Linked DNA regions of Notamacropus eugenii. The main gene of each other region encodes a partner of the protein of the gene in region 2 in a complex. Links are inferred from orthologs where the notes say so. Each region holds a gene or a part of one and is shown on either strand. Other genes may lie near its edges.

Region 1 (8,501 bases), on a different chromosome or scaffold from region 2:
AAGGAGAGAGACCAATCAAGCAAGAAAATCTGCACCATGAAAGAAAAGTCTGTTTCCTGCATTTTAGCCAGTATCTGTCAGAAACTTTCCATTAATATCCCAGCATCCCTTCTAAGAGAGATCTAAGTAGGCAGTTCTTCTAGTTTAACGAAACCACCTCTGCCCCAGGGATGTCCACTTGTTTTCATGAAACAAGACAAAACTCCCAATAAAACAGGAGCACCAAGTCCTGTCTTAGGGCTTTTCACTTACAGAAAAGTGACTTTAAAGTCTAGGCACCTCTGCCAAAATTGCTTCCTCAAATCATCCAGTGGGGTCACAGATGAAGCAGGAGAGTCCAAAGACATCTCTGCTTGGCCACCACTCCAATCTTAGGTCCAGGTAATAGGAACCCTTAGGAAACTTGGGTGCAAATGTAACCAGGTCTTTAAGGCTGAACCAAACCAAGGGCTTCAAGTTAAGCTTTGTCTCCTTGGCTTAATAATTATTTTCAGGTGGGACCAAGGATTATGAACCAGGACATTGTCAATGCTATTTCTTAAATATTTCTCAAAAGAAAAAAAGGAAATTTTGTGGCCCATCTGCTGCCCCTGTTCATCACCTGCTTCTCCTAGAAACAATTCTCTGCTGGTCCTGAGTTTTCTTGGCCTCCCTACCCTCCTTCAGCCTTCAGGGTCACCCGGCTACTAAGTGTCTGAGGCCAGATTTGAATTCAGGAAGATGTGTCTTCCTGCCTCTAGGCCCGGCGCTCTATCCACTAGGGCACTACCTAGTTGTTTATGTATCTCTGTGGACACACATGTGGTCTCCCCGTTAGGATGTTAACTCCTTGAAAGAACGGAAGTTTCCACTTTTGTACCTGTATGCTGAGTGCCTAGTAGTGCCCGGCACATAGTTGGTGCTTAATAAATGCTGACTGACACCTCCACAGCACCACACACTTTAGTACTTATTCTAAGAATAACAGCTAGTCTCCAGCTAGAATTTAGAGCTATTTAGAGATCATGTAGCTGGACTCTTGTAAGGTCCAGAGTGGTCAAAGGAGCCACACCCAGCACTTTTAACTTATGGAGACAAAGCCAAATGGACAGGAAAGCTTGGGAAGCCACTGGACCAGGCCAACCAACCAACACAGTTTGAGAAGAAGCAAATCTATCAGTACAGTGAGGGTAGACCTGTCCAGCCCAGATCCCTCCCAGGGACATGGGAAGGAAAGTGCTCTATACAACCCAGAGTAGGAGAGAAGGAGGAGTCATCCCTGGCAACCGTCCACACCTGTTCTCGTAGATGTCCTGGATCTCATAGACTTTCTGATCGATGACGTCACTGGACACCCGGCTTGCCTGAAGCTCATAGACTTTCTGGTCAATGAGGTCGGAGACAGTTTTGTGGAAATATTGGATAAAGTTCTTGATCACTTCTGGAATCACTTGGTAGGTCTGCTGCTCATATTGCCGTTCATAGGCCAGGTCCTGTTTTGGGTCCCCTTCAGGTCAGAGATGAAAGAAAGAATGAGACCATTGATGGCTCTCAATCTCTGCAGAGCCAAAAAAGGGGCCTGGGAATCCCCAGGGCCTGGAGCAAGCAAAGGTTTGGAGTGAACCTGAATTATAAAACTGATGGAGGATGGGATCTGAACCCTCAAAAGGAAAAGACCATGTCTCTGAAAACAATCCAGCCCTGAACTTTCCCATGCTGGCCTGAAGTATATGGTCCACCCCAGTCTACCTAGATACTCAAAAATCCTTTTAACTACCCTTTCACTGTGGCTCTCCAACCCAGCCCAGACCACCTAACTCCTTTTGATGTCTGCACTTGGCCCATCCCACACTATTTACTACTCCTCGGTCCCATTCAGATCTTTTCACTGATCCTTCTTACCTATTTTTGTATATAAGTATCAGTCCCATCCCCATCAACTCACTTAGAATAAAGGCCACTTTTTTGGCATCACAAATAAATCTTGTTATTTTGACTGAAAGAAGGCTTGAGTGATTGAATTCTTTTCAGGGCTCCTTATATTTTAAGATTCCCAGCACCCCAAACCACAATAGTAACCGGCATTTATGTGACTTAGAAACAGCACCTTTCACAAAAGACTTTCACACAAACTCCACGATCATCCTAAACAAACAACATTAAGAGTTTTATAACTTCTGTCATCAAGTGAAATCATACAGAATGATGTGTAACTATTCCTCAATCAACGGACAAGGATTTATGAAGACATCTGGCTGCCTGGCAGTGGAATTACAAGTGCAAAAGAATTAAACACGATAGTCTCAACAAGCATCTATCTTCTCCAGCACCCCACCAGCTCCTTGGGGACAATGACTGAGTTTCCCCTAAACATCAGCCGCCCCTCAGCACCAGCGGAGCCTTCTGTCTGAAATGAAAACTGAGCAAACACTTTTTGGTGACCCTGGCTTCCTGGACACCCCCAAAGGAGGCCCACCTGAGGGTGACTCCTGGCTGGAGCTGGTGCTACTGGGCTGGGCACCAGCCCAGTGCGGGCCGGCGCGTCTTACCTGTGTGCATGTCATAGTCGCCTGGGTAAGCGTAGGGATCGTAGGCAGCCTGGAGGAGGAGAAAGAAAGACCACCTCATTCGTTCGCAGCCTGAAGGCTACACAGCCTTTCCCTGGGTGGGTGCACTGAGCCAGCCCCGGTGACAGGGCCGGGGGCTCTTTCCATTTCAGGGACAGAAGCCCAGCTCTGGGACCGGGGGAGGCGGGAAGCAGCGTGGATGGAGGGGGAGCCGAGAGGGGACGGCCGTAGGGAAAGGGGGGAGACGCTGGCCAAGCAGCAGGAGGGGAGGGCTCGAGAGGAAGCCAGACCCCCGTCCTCAGGGAGCTTCCCAGGCGCTGTTGGGGAGGGGGCCTCCTCTGCCTTCCGGGGCTGCTCAGTCCCCTTCTCTTGAGATTGCGCCCCCCTCCCCGATGCCGTCTCCCCGGGGAGATGGGAGATCCCCGAGGGCAGGGGCCGCTTGGGCCTTTCTCGTTCCCCCCTGCAATGCCTGGCACGTGCCCATTTCTAGAGGCGGGGGAGGGGGCAGCTGGGAGAAGGATCAGGGCGTTCTCTTTTATTTGAAGGAAGAAGGAGAACAGACTAAACGGAGAGAAGTGGAAAGGGAAGAAGAGAAAGGAGGGTGGGGGAAGGGAGATGGAAGTTGGGGGGCGAAGGGAAGAAGGGAGAAGAGTGGGGGAGGGCCCCGCACCTCACCGCACGCCCACCCCCTGGACCCCTGAAGGGACCCAGGGAGCAGGGACCCCCATTACCTCATTGTCATAATCCTCAGCCGGGTAGGACATGGCGGCGGCTCAGTCTGGGCTCAGAGAAGGAGCGGGCAATCGTGTGGGGAGCGCCTGCCGCCCGAGCCTGCGCAATATTCCCGGAAGCGGAACCTAAGGAAGCACACTTCCGGGAGAGTCCGCCATGATGAGAGTGGCGGAAGTGACTCGATTTTCAACATGCTTTTCCCCTCCAGCTTCCCAGGTGAGAGCCTGAGATACGGTAATGTTGCTTTATTGCTTTTTGTGTCAGCAGAGGATAACAAACCAATAGTTATCCAATGCAAGAAAACCCTAGTCTGACACACCCAATATGGAGGGCCCTCCTCCAGGCCGACCACCCCGTTCCAGCGTATTAGTAAACGCAGACGGAGGTCTCCGAAAAAGCGTGTTTAGGTGTTTAAGCTGCGCCTGCTTCTATCACAGGGGATCCAGACCCAAATAAGGGATATGAATTGAGCGCTTGGAAGCATTTCATGGCTCTTGTTTATCCCCTTCAATGAACAGAATGGAGAGATGAGTTTCTAGCCCTTCCCTTGGAGGCTATAGAGATTGGAACAGGCGATAGACACGGACAGCCCGGACGCAGGCGGAGGTGGAGCGTCGGAGGGGTGGGGCGGGACAGAAAAGCGTTGATGACGCATGCGTTCTACGCTAGGATCTGCGCAGAATCCCCGAGTTCTAACAGCGTTTCCCAGCCTGTGAGGAAAGAGGGCCTTATTCCTCAGGACACTAGTCTGAGAGACATGGACCAAGATGCTTTGGGAAGAGGGCGTCTGGTTCCTTGGGAGTCTGGCTTGAAGTACATGTCCCATAGTGCTCCTGGGCCAGGGAGGGCTATGCCTTACAAAGTGATGGGGAACCTGCTTTAGTAGGGTTCCCCCCCATATATCCCATAATGCTTCAGGGCTAGGGAAGACGAGGCTGGCAACATATCCCATGATGCTTAAGCGTGGAGCGGGGGAGGGGAGAGCTTGTGTCCAAACAACATATCCCATGATGCTTTGAGACATCCTTATTTGGGCGGGGAGGCACCAGGTTTAAAAAGTCCCGGGAGCCCCCGCCCACATCCCCTCCCCCCATTTCCGGGACTTTGCCCAGGGGACCTTATTGTTTCCATCTGAGTCAGAGGCTTCTTCTCTGCTCGTGCAGTTTGTCCCTCTTGGACCTGAGTTCGAATTCTGCACCTTGGCCGGTGTCTCGCTCTGTGACTCCTGGGTAAGATGCTTCCCTCCGGGCCTCAGTTTCCCTTTCTGTGACATAAGTGAGGAGGACGCCGAGGTCTCTTCCAGCTCCACACCGACCCCCTGAATCGCTTCCGCTCTCCGGGCCTGGACTAGGCAGCCTCTGAGAGTGACCCTGCATCTTCTCCCTGCAGCCCACCCCGGCGCCAGCTGTTGGACACGTGCTCCCTGAGGGCAGGAGCTGCCTGTTTGTTTTATATTATTTTACGAGTTATATAAACAGTATTATAAATGTAGAGCATATAAATAACATGACATGGCACACAGTGGGCGTCTACTAAATGCTCATGGCTTAGCCCCGGTACTCCCGCTCCCCTTCGCCTTACAGTCTGCCCCTTCCCCCCTCCCACGTGCTCCAGAAGGCCCTTGTCCTGGCTTTTTAGAGCCGAAGGGTGGGCTTCCTTTCGGACCGGCCCTTCACCTCTGGCTTCATCAGCCTGACCTCCCGGCTCAACCTCTTTTCATTTAGATTGAGGTTGGTTAAAAACTTTTTAAGGAGCTCACCCCACAAGAAACTCTGAATTATCCTTCTTGGGTCCCCTAGTCCAGCGCTGGTGATGTACATATTAAAAAAAATGCAAAATGTTGGGGCTCTCAGCCGTTGTGGCCTCCCTCTGGCCAACTAAGTGTTTTCCCTTTCATTTCCTCTCAGTTCTCAGCCTGTGACTCAGAAGCCCACCAGACTGGTCACCTCCAGGCGCCTGGTGCCCCTTGTAGGTAAGAGATCTTTTGATATCTGTCAGGGGGGTTTCAGGCTTAAGCTGCCTGTCAGACTAGATCCTCAAACAGGCTTAGAGCATTTCCTTTAGGAATTGGCTTATAAACCACTTTTCAAGTGCCTGTGGCTGTATCTTGGCTGTATCTGTAACCGCCTTTTACATGACATGTTGCAGCCACTAACACCCTGACAAGGATCTTTCTCCTTTCCTTTGGTCAGAGTCCTGCCCAGGGACCAGGGCTCCCAAGAAGTCTTTTGTCTTTGGGCAACAAGTTGAGTGTGTGGCCCCACTCTGCTCTCCTCTCCAGATATAGGGTATGGATGTGCCACCCAGAATAGCACACCTGTTGACTCTTGGTACCTGTGGTAGTTCCACAAATCCCGTGGTCAGCCTTCCTGGGTTCCCTTCTGGCCCGCTGAAAGGGATGAAATCAATGTCCTTTCCCCACACTGTATATTCCAGCTGATTTAACGCATGCAACCTTGTTCTGTGTTCATATAGAGAATGGTTGAGAGTTAATTTTGTTTGGACAGAACAGGGTAACCAGGTATCCTCGAGACAGGACATTATCCCAGCTGAGTATTAAACCTGGTTCCTGATGATCTGTAAAGGCTCCAGCCCAGAGAGCTGTGGATCAGGGTTCAGGAGGGATTGGTGAGGGCTGAGGGCTAGTTGCCCAACGTTCAGGTGAATTTGAGATGGACTGTTTGTTGGACAGGTAGGAGGAGCCTCCAGAATGGGGAATCTCATGACTAAGGATGAGAGAGGAGCCATTCCAAAGGAAGGAACTCCAGCATTTTATATGTACACCCACTACCAGCCTAAGTGCTGCAGGTTTCTGCTTGACTGGAGTAGGCTCACGAGAGGTCAGAAGTACTCTCTGTGGTTTCCACAAGAAGGATCATTTGACTTGAGTAAAATAATGCACCTGAAGGAGGTCCTAGAATCTCGTGGCTCTAAAGTCGGGCGAGGCCAGTGGAAAGCATTCATTGATTGGCAGACAGAAGCTTCTCGAAGGCACCAGGCTGCTCAGGAGCAGCATCATAGGGATTCCATTGAGAAACTGGAAGACAGGATTCGAGCTTTTGAGTCTTTGAATCACCCTCCACCAAAACAGGAGATGCAGGGGGATGGTCAGGGGCCCTTGAGTTCTCATGAAACTCCCCAACCTCCAGCTCCAGTCACTGCCCCTCCAGCGCCAGCTCAGACTCCAGCTGCTACCTCTCCAGTGCCAGCTCCAGCTGCTATCCCTGCAATGCCAGCTCAGGCTCCAGTTGCTACCCCTCCAGTGCCAGCTCAGGCTCCAGCTGCTACCCCTCCAGTGCCAGCTCAGGCTCCAGCTGCTACCCCTCCAGTGCCAGCTCAGGCTCCAGCTGTTACCTCTCCAGTGCCAGCTCAGGCTCCAGCTGCTTTTCCTACAGTGCCAGCTCAGGCTCCAGCTGCTACTCCTCCAGTGCCAGCTCAGGCTCCAGCTGTTACCCCTCCAGTGCCAGCTCAGGCTCCAGCTGTTACTCCTGCAGTGCCAGTTCATGCTCCAGCTGCTGCCCCTCCAGCGCCAGCTCAGGCTCCACCCACTGCCTCTTCCTTTCCTTTAACTCCCCCTCCTTCCTTTACCCCAACACCTTTTGTAACCTTAGATGCAGAAGATTCTTGGATCTATACTCGCAGGCATAGAGTAGTAGAGTACCCAGAGTGGAGAAGTAATTCAGGTGACTGTACTACTTTTAGGCATGAGGATTTGTATGACCTTGCTATCAAGCTCTCCGACATTGAGCAAGAACCAGTAGAGTTTAAGAATCAGCTGAGTTTTATTATTCATGTTTTGAAGCCCACCTGGGCAGATATGAATAGACTGTTGACAATTGTGCTGCCCACAAAGGTCAGACAGCGCCTCTTTGATATGGCTCTCTGGCCCATGGATGATCCTGGAGAAGGGCCGTACTTGGTTTGGCTCTGGCGGTCTTTACTGAATGCTATCCTGCTGGTCTGCCCCAGAAAATCTGATTGGGGGAAAATTATATCCTGTAAGCAAAAAATAAATGAGCAGCCACATGTGTATTTAAATCGCTTTACAAAAGTCTTTGAGGAGCATTCTGGCATTGAGGACCCAGACAGTGGTGCCACCCAGGGGATGGCCCTCGCTTTTGTTCAAGGCCTCCTTCCCCAAGTTCAAAAACAGCTGCGTACTTTTTGTGTGGGGTGGGAAGAAAAATGTGTCCATGAATTGGCACCTCTAGCTCACTACTACTGGCAGCTGGAGCAGGAGAGGAAGATGATTGTCTGGAGAGGCCCTAGGAAACGACGTCCTAAGAAGTCTTTTGACCCTTCTGCATGCTTTTACTGTAAACAGCTTGGTCATTGGATAAGAGAGTGCCCTTATCGGTTAAAACGCCAACACCAGCTTAGCTAACTGGCATATCCCTTCAGGATCGCCAGAGGGACAGTCACTCCTTAAGGCCCCGACTGGAGTGGGGCATCCAAGCCCATTCTCTGAGATATGACTCCTCATCAGGAGAATTGTTTTCTGTCTTCTTTTGTAATTTCACCTTCTGCCTTAAATGCCTAAACTCTGGGGAAGAACTTTCTGTTCCAAGATTTTAATAATGCCTAGTCCAAGGACTAGTGGTGAAGGTGCTCTTTGTAGCCCCTTGGTGCCTGGAGATAACAGATTTTGTACCTCTCCTAAGCAGAGGAACAAAGGATTAAAAAGCCTTGACTTGTCAACCCTTTCAGCCAGAATCTGTGAGACCTTGAAAGCAGAAACTGCTCTCTAGGCATGAGAGAGATGTGTTTCTTGCAGACTAAAAAAAAAAAAAAAAAAAGGAACACTTCTGGACTACCTTGAGGGGAAGGGTTTTGACCTGTTCCTGTGCTTCACCCTTACCTTGGAAACACTTGTTTTTGGCCTTAATTGTAGATTGTGGGTCTTTGTGTAATGAGGAGGGCCTTTTGAAATTGTTGATACCCCTTGCCTATGATCTGTGTCCTCAAAGGGATCCATAGGAAAGGGGGTTGTTGCTAGATCAGCAGCCTGGTATATAAGGGCCTATCTGGCATGTCTGGTACTCATCCCAGATGACTGACCCATTCTGGGCTTACCCTTGATCATATTTAATATAAAATTTTGGAATAATCTCTTTGTTCTCTCTGAAGCAAATTCAGAGAGTTCCTCTTCCTGTGTCAACAAAAGCCAGATAGGGCTGACTTGGCATTCCTTAAGAGACCTTTAACCTAAGATACTTTTTCTGA
Region 2 (8,312 bases):
TGGAGCTTTTAGGTCAGGTCCTGCCCTTAGGGTACTGCATCTCTGCAACCTCTAAATCTCTTCCCCTATCAGACTTGGGAGCCTTTCCCTCAAAGCTTCCCCTAGGTCTACCACCCAACCCCTTCCCTCTGAAGTGCTCCATCAGCCTTTATTGTGACTTAGGGGTGAGCAGGGGAGCCAGGGCTGCCTTACGTGGTCATAGATGGGGGAAAGAGCAGCTGAGTTGACAGGTCGCTCCGTTCTGAATGTTTTTTGGTGCTCAAGGGTTGTGGAGTCAAAGAGCTAAAAACACATATTAGAAGGGGAAAGAAACATGAGAGAAGGGAAGGACCCCTGATTTGGATCAGTCAGACCCGCTTTGAGCCTAGCACCCACCTTGGCAGTATTGTCCTTAGAAGCGGTGACGAACATTGTCATGTCTCGAGATGTCTGGATATCGTTGATCTGCCTTGAGTGCTCCTTAACATTCACCATCACTTCACCAGACTGGGAGAAGGCATGGTGGAAGGTACATCACTCCCCCTCTCACCACCAGGAGGCCAGAGCTGCTGGGAGGTGATCCCAGCCACTCTCCCGAGATCCTGATCCTTCCACACTCACCCCTCCCTGGACCTCACCTTAGCACTGTACTGGTTCAGTTCCCCATTTTCATGGCCAGCAATGATGCATTCCCCCAAGGGTCCCCACACGGCACTTGTGATCTTGGCATCAGCATTACAGGGGATCTTCATGTATGGTTCATTGCTATCTGTTTGGGGGGTAGTAAGTAGACAGATGGTGAAGACTGGCTCCAGGCTACAGTAGACCCCACCTCCACTCTGAGTCCCTGAATCCGCACCCATATGTCATTACCGATCTGGCTGGGGTCCCGGAGATCAAAGAAACTGACAAAGCACTGGTACCCCATCTGCTTGTCCGTGGAGAACATGATGATGTTGCCTCCAAAGTCAAATCCGCATGTACGGACAGCTGAGTTGGTCTTCAGCAGAGCCAGCTGCTTTCCTAGGAATAAGTACAGAATGGCTAACTGCTCCTCCCATTCCTCAGCCTCCAATAGGCCCCAACCCCATCTCTACCAAGCTTTACTGTTCCATTGGTGAAAATGACCCCTCAGAAGGTTGGGCTCAGGTCAGAGAACAAGACATTAAATAAGGCAGCATTGAATTCTGCACCCCACCCCCACTTCCCCAGCCTCAAGTCAAAGACGCTCTGATGTCACCAACTCCAAATCATGCATGACCAGCAATGCTTTCCAGACCCCTGACAAGTGACCATTTGTCCTGTGCTGAAGCCCTCCCAGTTTCCTAAGGCAGGCCGTTTTACATTAACAAGCTTATTCTTAAACTGAGGTAAAATCTGCTTCCTTCAAACTGGACAACAGATGTCCATCCCTGAATCCTGAGAACACACTAGGTAACTGCTTCACCCAGTCTGGGAGGGGAATGCCAGGAACAGGAAGCCTGAACTTTCTGACCAATCATCTTAGGAATAGGTTCAGCCTTGCAAAATGATCCACTAATCTATGAAGATATATCTCCAGAATAAGCATTGCCTTCTAAGCTGATGCTGGGAGCCACGGAAAAGGAGGTATCAAATCCATCAGCCTGGAGAAGGCAGCACTACGTGTGGGGAGGAGCAGGAAGCCAGAAGAACTGGGTTCTGGGCCCATCCCTGCTCCTAACCTTGTGACTTGGACCAAGTCACTCCCCCCTCTCTGGGCCTCAGTTTTCTCCTTCATGAAAGGACAGAAGTTGGACTACAAGATCCTCAAGTCCCTTTCCAATTCTGACATTGTCTGAGTCTACCTGATATCCAATACCCCATTAACACTAGTCAAGCCCATTCCCAAATGACCAACTCCACCCAGTGACCAGACCTGGGAGGCCAAGGCAGTAAATGAGGGGCCCTAACAGAAGTAGATCATCTGATTACCTGTCTCACAATCCCAGAGGCGGCAGCTGTTGTCGGCAGAGCCGGTAAGGACATGTTTGGTGTCCCCTGGAGAAGTTGTTAGGGAATGTTATCAAATTCATGTGTCACCGTTTCCGTTTGGCAGGGAGAAAGGGAGGCAGGAGAAGCTGTCTGAATCTCTTTAACCCCCCCCCCCCCCCCCCCCCGAGACAACACCACAGTCGGGCGTCTCTGTCTTTGACCAACAGAGAATACGCCAGCTCTTTAAGGCAGCAGCATTAGAGGATACAATCAGCATCCACACACCACACAGCTCCAGTGTGCCCCGTGTAGGTGCCCAGCCGTTCTCCGTTTACCGAGTACCAGACGTTGACAATCTAGCGAAGCAAAGACGTTAGTTAGTTTGCTGAAGAGGAACCAGGAAAAAACCTTCCCTTCCCCCCAGAGTCTGCCAGCAGCCTCTATCTTGCTGGCTCTCAGCCTTTGCCTCCCCTCGATAACTCCTGCCTCCCTACCAGGGAAACTCCCTAACCAAGCCCCTGTGAAAGAATATGTGACTGGGCCTTTAAGATCAAACTGTGTCCTGTAGCATGCCCCAAACAAATGATTTGAGAACAGATTTATGTCTTGAACGGGGTACCCCAGAAGTCTTAGTATACTTTGAAGCTTTAGTAGCCGCTAAATTACATGTTTTGTATATCAATAGCTATTCAGTTACATATGTATCTCCCTGGTCCTCCAAACCATTCACACATCTTCCCTCAAGGTAACTTGTAGCCAACTTCCTTTACCGGATATTGATTCTACCTCAGCAGGCGAATGTTCAATCTGACCCCCTAGTTTTCAGCACTGACTGACCCCTGACATAAAAGGCCCCATCTCTGCAGAGGCGCAGCAGCCTCCTCAGGTAGCAACCACACTAGCCCTGTCTCCCTCCTGAGTCAAGAGGAGGTTAAAAAACAAGCTGAACCAAGTCAGCCACCATCTACATCCAAGGATGAGAAATTCTCCCCAGGCGATGGGCCAGGGATGGGTGATGATGGTCGTAACTGTTTTGTGGGCAAACTGGAAGGTAGCAATGAGAAGGTTTGTATAGCAGGAAGAACCTCAAAATCAGGAGACCAGGGCTCTAGACCTGATGTGTAAAATGGGCAGGGGGTTAATCATGATAATGAAGGGTTGTAGAAGCTCCTTAGAGTTTACAAAATGCCTTCCACACTCGGCCTCATTCCAGCGTCACAACCAATCACCTGGTCAGATAAAGTGAGATTATGGCCCCCTTTTACAGAGGAGGACACAGTTTGGGTGACTTGCCCAGGGTCACAGAGTCATTAATAAAGCTCTGAGGCTGGAGTCGAACTTGGCAGCGCTCTATCCACTGGGCCATCGAGCTGCCTCTATGCCAACCACATGAAAACGAGCACTGCCTCAGTTTCCCCACTCCTCCAGTCTCCCATGCAGCCCCCTCCTAGCTGCTTCCCTCCCCGCTCTCCTCTAGGACCGCCCCAATCCCTCCCCCCTCTGCCCCTCCCCCTTCCCAGCGGAATTCCCCGTCCTCTCCAGCCTCCCCTCCCCCCGCTCCGGGCCGCGCATGCTCACGGGGTCCTTGGCGACGGTGAAGAGCAGGTCTCCCTCGCGGTTGTACTTGATCTGCGTGATGGATCGCTCGTGGCCCTGGAGCAGGATCGGCTTCTGGGGACGGCACCGGGCCGGGGGAAAGAGGAGGGGGGGGTCACTGTCAGGGCACGGGCTTGGGCGAGGGCACCGTGTTCTGCCCCCTTGGCCTCCCACCCCTCCTTGCTTCGCCCTCCCCAAGCGGACTCACCATCGCGGCGGCTGAAGCGACCGCACCGGCGCCACTGATCCGCGCAGCAGCGTGAGGGACTTACCGGAAGAGAGAGGGACTGAGCTTCCGGGTCACGGCGCCGGGCCGGCCCCGGAAGTGGAAGCCTTCCTTTTCCGGCGTTGTCATGGCGGCGACTCTGGGTGAGGAATTCCCAGCCCCTCCCCCCACCTGCGTTCCCAGCTCCGTTTCTTCCTCTGTAATAATAAGGACGGCGGGCGCCCCGCGCTTTCTTCAGGTGTTCCCCGGGAGCCCTCGGGGAACGCCTCCTTGGGAATGGTCATGGCCTCCGTCCTACAGACGGGGCCCCTGAGGCTGCTGCTGGCCCGGGGGACGCCGGTAGCCAGTGCCGGAAGCGCCCCCCGGCGCTCAGTTCCCCGCCCCGGGGAGGTGGGGGGAGGGCTCCGGGGGGCAGCCCCGCAGGGTGAGTGACGGGCTGGCCTCCCCCTCCCAGGGCAGGCATGTGCCCTGGTGCTGGTGGCCGTGCTGTGGGGCGGCTCCAACCCGCTGCTGAAGAGGGCCACGGGCGCCGTGGAGCCGGTGCGGGCGGGGAGCCGGCTGGAGCGGCTCCTGCGGGAGACGAAGGCCTTGTTTTCCAGCTCCCAGGTAGGGCCGCGTGCAGGGGTCCCCGAGATGGGGGTGCGGAGGCCGGGGTCGGGCATCCCGTCCTGAGCGGACCAAAGCGCTGAGGGACTGTCCCTTCCCTGGGCTGGCAGACAGCGCCTCGGATGGCTCCGTGCCGCCTGCTGCGCTGACCCCAGCCTTTCCCTCCTCTCCACCCCAGTATCTGGTGCCCTTTTGCCTCAACCAGTGTGGCTCCCTGATCTACTACCTCACCCTGGCATCAACAGGTAGGTGCGTCTCTGCTTTGGGGGCTGGTCGTCTGGGTGGGCTGCGGCCAGTAGGCATCCAGCCTGCCAGGGAGGTTCACGTAGCGATCTAATGCTTCCTTAGCAGCTATAACCGTGCTACGTTGTGGGACGGGGCTTCCCACCCTAGTAACCTTGGCACGTCCCAGGCATTGGGGGGGTGAGAGATGGATCCGGGCCTGAAGGAGACAATTCAGTCTTACCGAAGGGTACGTAACATTTTCCTGACACCCCTCCCCCACTTTGGACTTGGCATTCAGGGACCTGAGTTGGCATCCTATTTCTGCTACCGTGGTGACCTTGACCAAGACGCCTTACGTCTTCGGGCCTATTTTCTCATAGCCAAAGGGATAAAAAACCAATTGGACAGGAGGGGATGGGTTCATGGGTTGTACGGGATAGACAGGCATGGTTGCATCAGCCGAAGAGAATGCCCCCAAGGAACCACAGATCCGTTAAATATTTGGAGGGCAAGATGACACCACTAAAGAATTCTTTGCTTCTTGGACAGATCTCCTACTCTTCCATTTGACTTACATGCAAGCAAATAATGCTTCCCAGGCCTTCTTCACATTACCATCTACTCAGGTCCTTTTTGGACAACGTTTTGTTTATTCTTGTCATTTTCTTTATTCTGTTCTGTATTTTTTAGCGTCAACCAAAAGGCATAAATTACTCCTCCACCCCTAGAAGATTGAAGTATATTTCCTTACTTTTAAAAAAATCCCTTTCATTAATGTGATGTGGACACTCCTTTCAGGATTTAGGCTTTAGGAGTTACCTTTATGAGTTGCTGCATCCATTCCCCATGGTGATAGACATAGCTTGGTTGGTTTTCTACACAGCTTACTTTAAAGTCTTTCTAGTATCCTTTTGGGATGGGGCAAGTTTGGGGGGGGCAGGGTGTGAGGTCTGTTGTTACTATGTCTAGATCACTGAATTTGCCCTGCAGAATCTGAGTTCAGAGACTGTGAGCACCATATGACTTCATTGTTTAGTGTGAAAGGTCGTGAGTGCTGAAAACATTAGTATTCTTAAGAACTTGATCCCTCCCAAGAGTAAAAGAGAAATAAGGCTTGGATTAATAGCTGCACTCCTCCTGACTGGATTTTCTTCATTGTTGTATTTGTTTAACTGTCAAAGCTCTATACGTGTCTGTCTTTTAACAAGTATAATAGCTGGCATTTCTGTAGCTTTCCAAGGTTTGCAATGCACTTTACATACAGTAGCTCATCGGATCCTCACAACACCCTTTGAGGTAGGTACTGTCCTTATCTCAGTTTTATTGACAAGGAACCTTGTCAGTTTAAGGAGGTTTAAGTGACTCATCCAAATGACCTGTTGTGAGAAATGGGTGTCTGCGGTGGAATCCTAGCCTGAGTCTTCCTGACTTCAAGTCTATTACTTGGTTTTTCTAACCTAGATAAACACCCACACCCCTCCTATTAGACCAGATCTTTGTGAGGGCAGGGAATACCTTTCCTGCTTTAGAGTGGACCCCAGGGAATGTCATCAAACTGTTCCCCTCCAGATCTGTCCCTGGCTGTGCCCATCACTAACTCCCTGGCCCTTGTTGTCACCCTGGTTGTCGGGAAGTTCCTTGGGGAAGACATTGGTGGAAAATGTAAGTAAGACCACTCCTGGGGAGAAATCACTTGCCAGGCTCTTAGGTGCCCAAGCTGGGTGACTTCTGTGCATTTCAAAAACCTATGGTCTTTGGGGGGATGAGCATCTAGTCTCTGGTGTGTCTTTTAGCACACTTGCCTCTTCTTTCCCTACAGTCAGGGTAGGGAACCTTGGAGTATGAGAAGACCTTTTCCTTTCTGAGCCACCACTTAGCCTTGTCTGGCACATAGTAAGTGCTTACTATTGATTGGCTGATTGATTGACCCAGGTCCTGCCCTGGGAATGGTGCTCACCGTCTCTGGAATCATGCTCTGCATTGCAAGTTCAGTGGGCAAGACAGAATAACGACAGGATCCTGTGGCCAGCCCTACCCAGAGACGACGGAGCAGTGGAGCAGGGAACCCTGGGCTGGGGGAATCCTGAGCCACCTACGCTTGAGCTTTCCTTGAGAAGGCTGTCTTTGACTTCCCCTTGGCAGTGGCCTCTTCCTCTATGATTCAGTGAGGCCTCATGGGGAGGAGCGGGGCTCAAAGACTTCACCACTTTGAACCTGAAGTTTCATGCCTTGGAAACTCCCTCCCCTTTTGTTGTGTGACCCAACCTCTCTCATGACCTTGGCCTCCAGCCAGTATTGTGGTTTGTGCAGAGCACCCTGGATGTCAGGTGCAGAGTACCCGTCAAGCTCAAACTTAGGGGCCTTCTGAGCCTTGGAGCTGATGTGGGCTGGGGCTGGTGGTGAGTCAGAGCCCACATGTGCTACAGTCAGTTAGACACCTTCCTTCCTCTCCCCGTCCGAGGGCCCCTGGTCCCCTAGGTTGAGAGGCTAGCTTCATAACCAGCTTTTGCTGCTCTTTTTCCTGGTCCAGACTTTAGAGTGGGATATGGTCTGGAGACATGGGTAAGAGACAAAGCTCAGATAACCCAGAAGCCAAGAAAACATTCTTCTTTATTAGGCCAAAGTGTGTATGCCCCTGTGTCCTTCCTACCCTACCTGGTATCAGACCCAACTGGGTGGTGGAAGGTAACCCTTCTCTTCCCCTGTCTAGGCAGGCTACTTGCAGGTTTGTGGGCCAGGCAAACTAGAAACGTCAGTGGGGGATCACAGCAGAAGAGGGTGGGTCGGTTCAATAAAAGCCTGTGCCATGGCTACTGATGGAATGCTGGCTGGGGGCTGGGAAAAGGGAGGGAGGGAAGGAGGTTGTGCAGGGCTTCTTGGTTTTCCAGAATGGCATCCAAGTTTAGTTCCATACCACCTACCCTAGGCAGCATTTTCCAAGAAATAGGCTTCTTCAACCATTTCTGCAGCCCTCTGGAAGAGAAAGAACAATCAGCTAGAAGGGAGCCAACTTAGATCCCAGAGCAGAGACCCCTTAACCTAGCAGAAGTGCAAAGGGCCCCTGGAGACTATCTGGTTCACGAATCCCCTGTACAGATGAAGGGACTGATTCACTGTGAAAGATGATAGCTGTTCAAGGTAACTGGGCCCAGTAGACAGTCAGGGTGCTCCCCTGGAACCCTTGTAATGGCCTCTAGCAGAATGGATCCCTAGTGGTGAAATTATGGGAGGATACCCATAGTCTCACCAGAGGAGCACCAAAGGGAACTCGCAAGCCATTGGAGTGTGGTGGTAGAGCCAGGATTAGAACCCAGATCTTCTGATGCCTACTTCTCAGCACTTTGCTTCACCTTGGATGGATTGTGGGACTCTACACACTCTTCAGCTATTCTCTTCTAAGGCCACAGACCCCATACCTGATCCAAGGGGACCTCTGTCAAGGTAGTCCCATTCTCTTCTACTTCCTGGGCACCTGCCAGTTCCCTCCTGGCATGGGGTGCACCATACACACTCCTTTCTCCTGTGAGGAAGGGGGTACATGTTGATGCTGTATTGAGATCATACAGAAGATAGAAAAGCATCTGTGGCCAGGATTCCCTCTCCTTGTCTCCAAGCCACTGGCTTCCCCTCCTTACCTCTGACCCACAGTCAAGGACTCTTTCCTTTTTCTCTAAGTTAGTCTCCTTCCCCATACTGACTGCTTTCCTCAGTCATGTTTTTGGCCACC

The links.
Region 1: EIF3I (region 2) and EIF3L share a complex: the UniProt entries of both Homo sapiens proteins name them as parts of the eukaryotic translation initiation factor 3 (eIF-3) complex. The link is inferred for Notamacropus eugenii from reciprocal best matches to the Homo sapiens genes EIF3I and EIF3L.

The regions. Positions count from the first base shown.
Region 1 is NC_092874.1:295,367,939-295,376,439, reverse strand, and holds the start of EIF3L (eukaryotic translation initiation factor 3 subunit L), read right to left. Parts: upstream 3,393-8,501; 5' UTR 3,311-3,392; coding exon 3,278-3,310; intron 2,578-3,277; coding exon 2,529-2,577; intron 1,487-2,528; coding exon 1,276-1,486; intron 1-1,275. Other genes in the region: uncharacterized protein, read left to right, coding at 5,989-7,662. UniProt on the Homo sapiens protein: Component of the eukaryotic translation initiation factor 3 (eIF-3) complex, which is required for several steps in the initiation of protein synthesis.
Region 2 is NC_092876.1:77,629,798-77,638,109, forward strand, and holds the start of EIF3I (eukaryotic translation initiation factor 3 subunit I), read right to left. Parts: upstream 3,829-8,312; 5' UTR 3,740-3,828; coding exon 3,737-3,739; intron 3,604-3,736; coding exon 3,511-3,603; intron 2,289-3,510; coding exon 2,201-2,288; intron 1,999-2,200; coding exon 1,933-1,998; intron 1,003-1,932; coding exon 853-1,002; intron 749-852; coding exon 618-748; intron 487-617; coding exon 376-486; intron 283-375; coding exon 193-282; intron 1-192. Other genes in the region: TMEM234 (transmembrane protein 234), read left to right, coding at 3,882-3,897, 4,209-4,360, 4,539-4,605, 5,817-5,881, 6,155-6,247, 6,518-6,745; DCDC2B (doublecortin domain-containing protein 2B), read right to left, coding at 7,508-7,558, 8,002-8,105. UniProt on the Homo sapiens protein: Component of the eukaryotic translation initiation factor 3 (eIF-3) complex, which is required for several steps in the initiation of protein synthesis.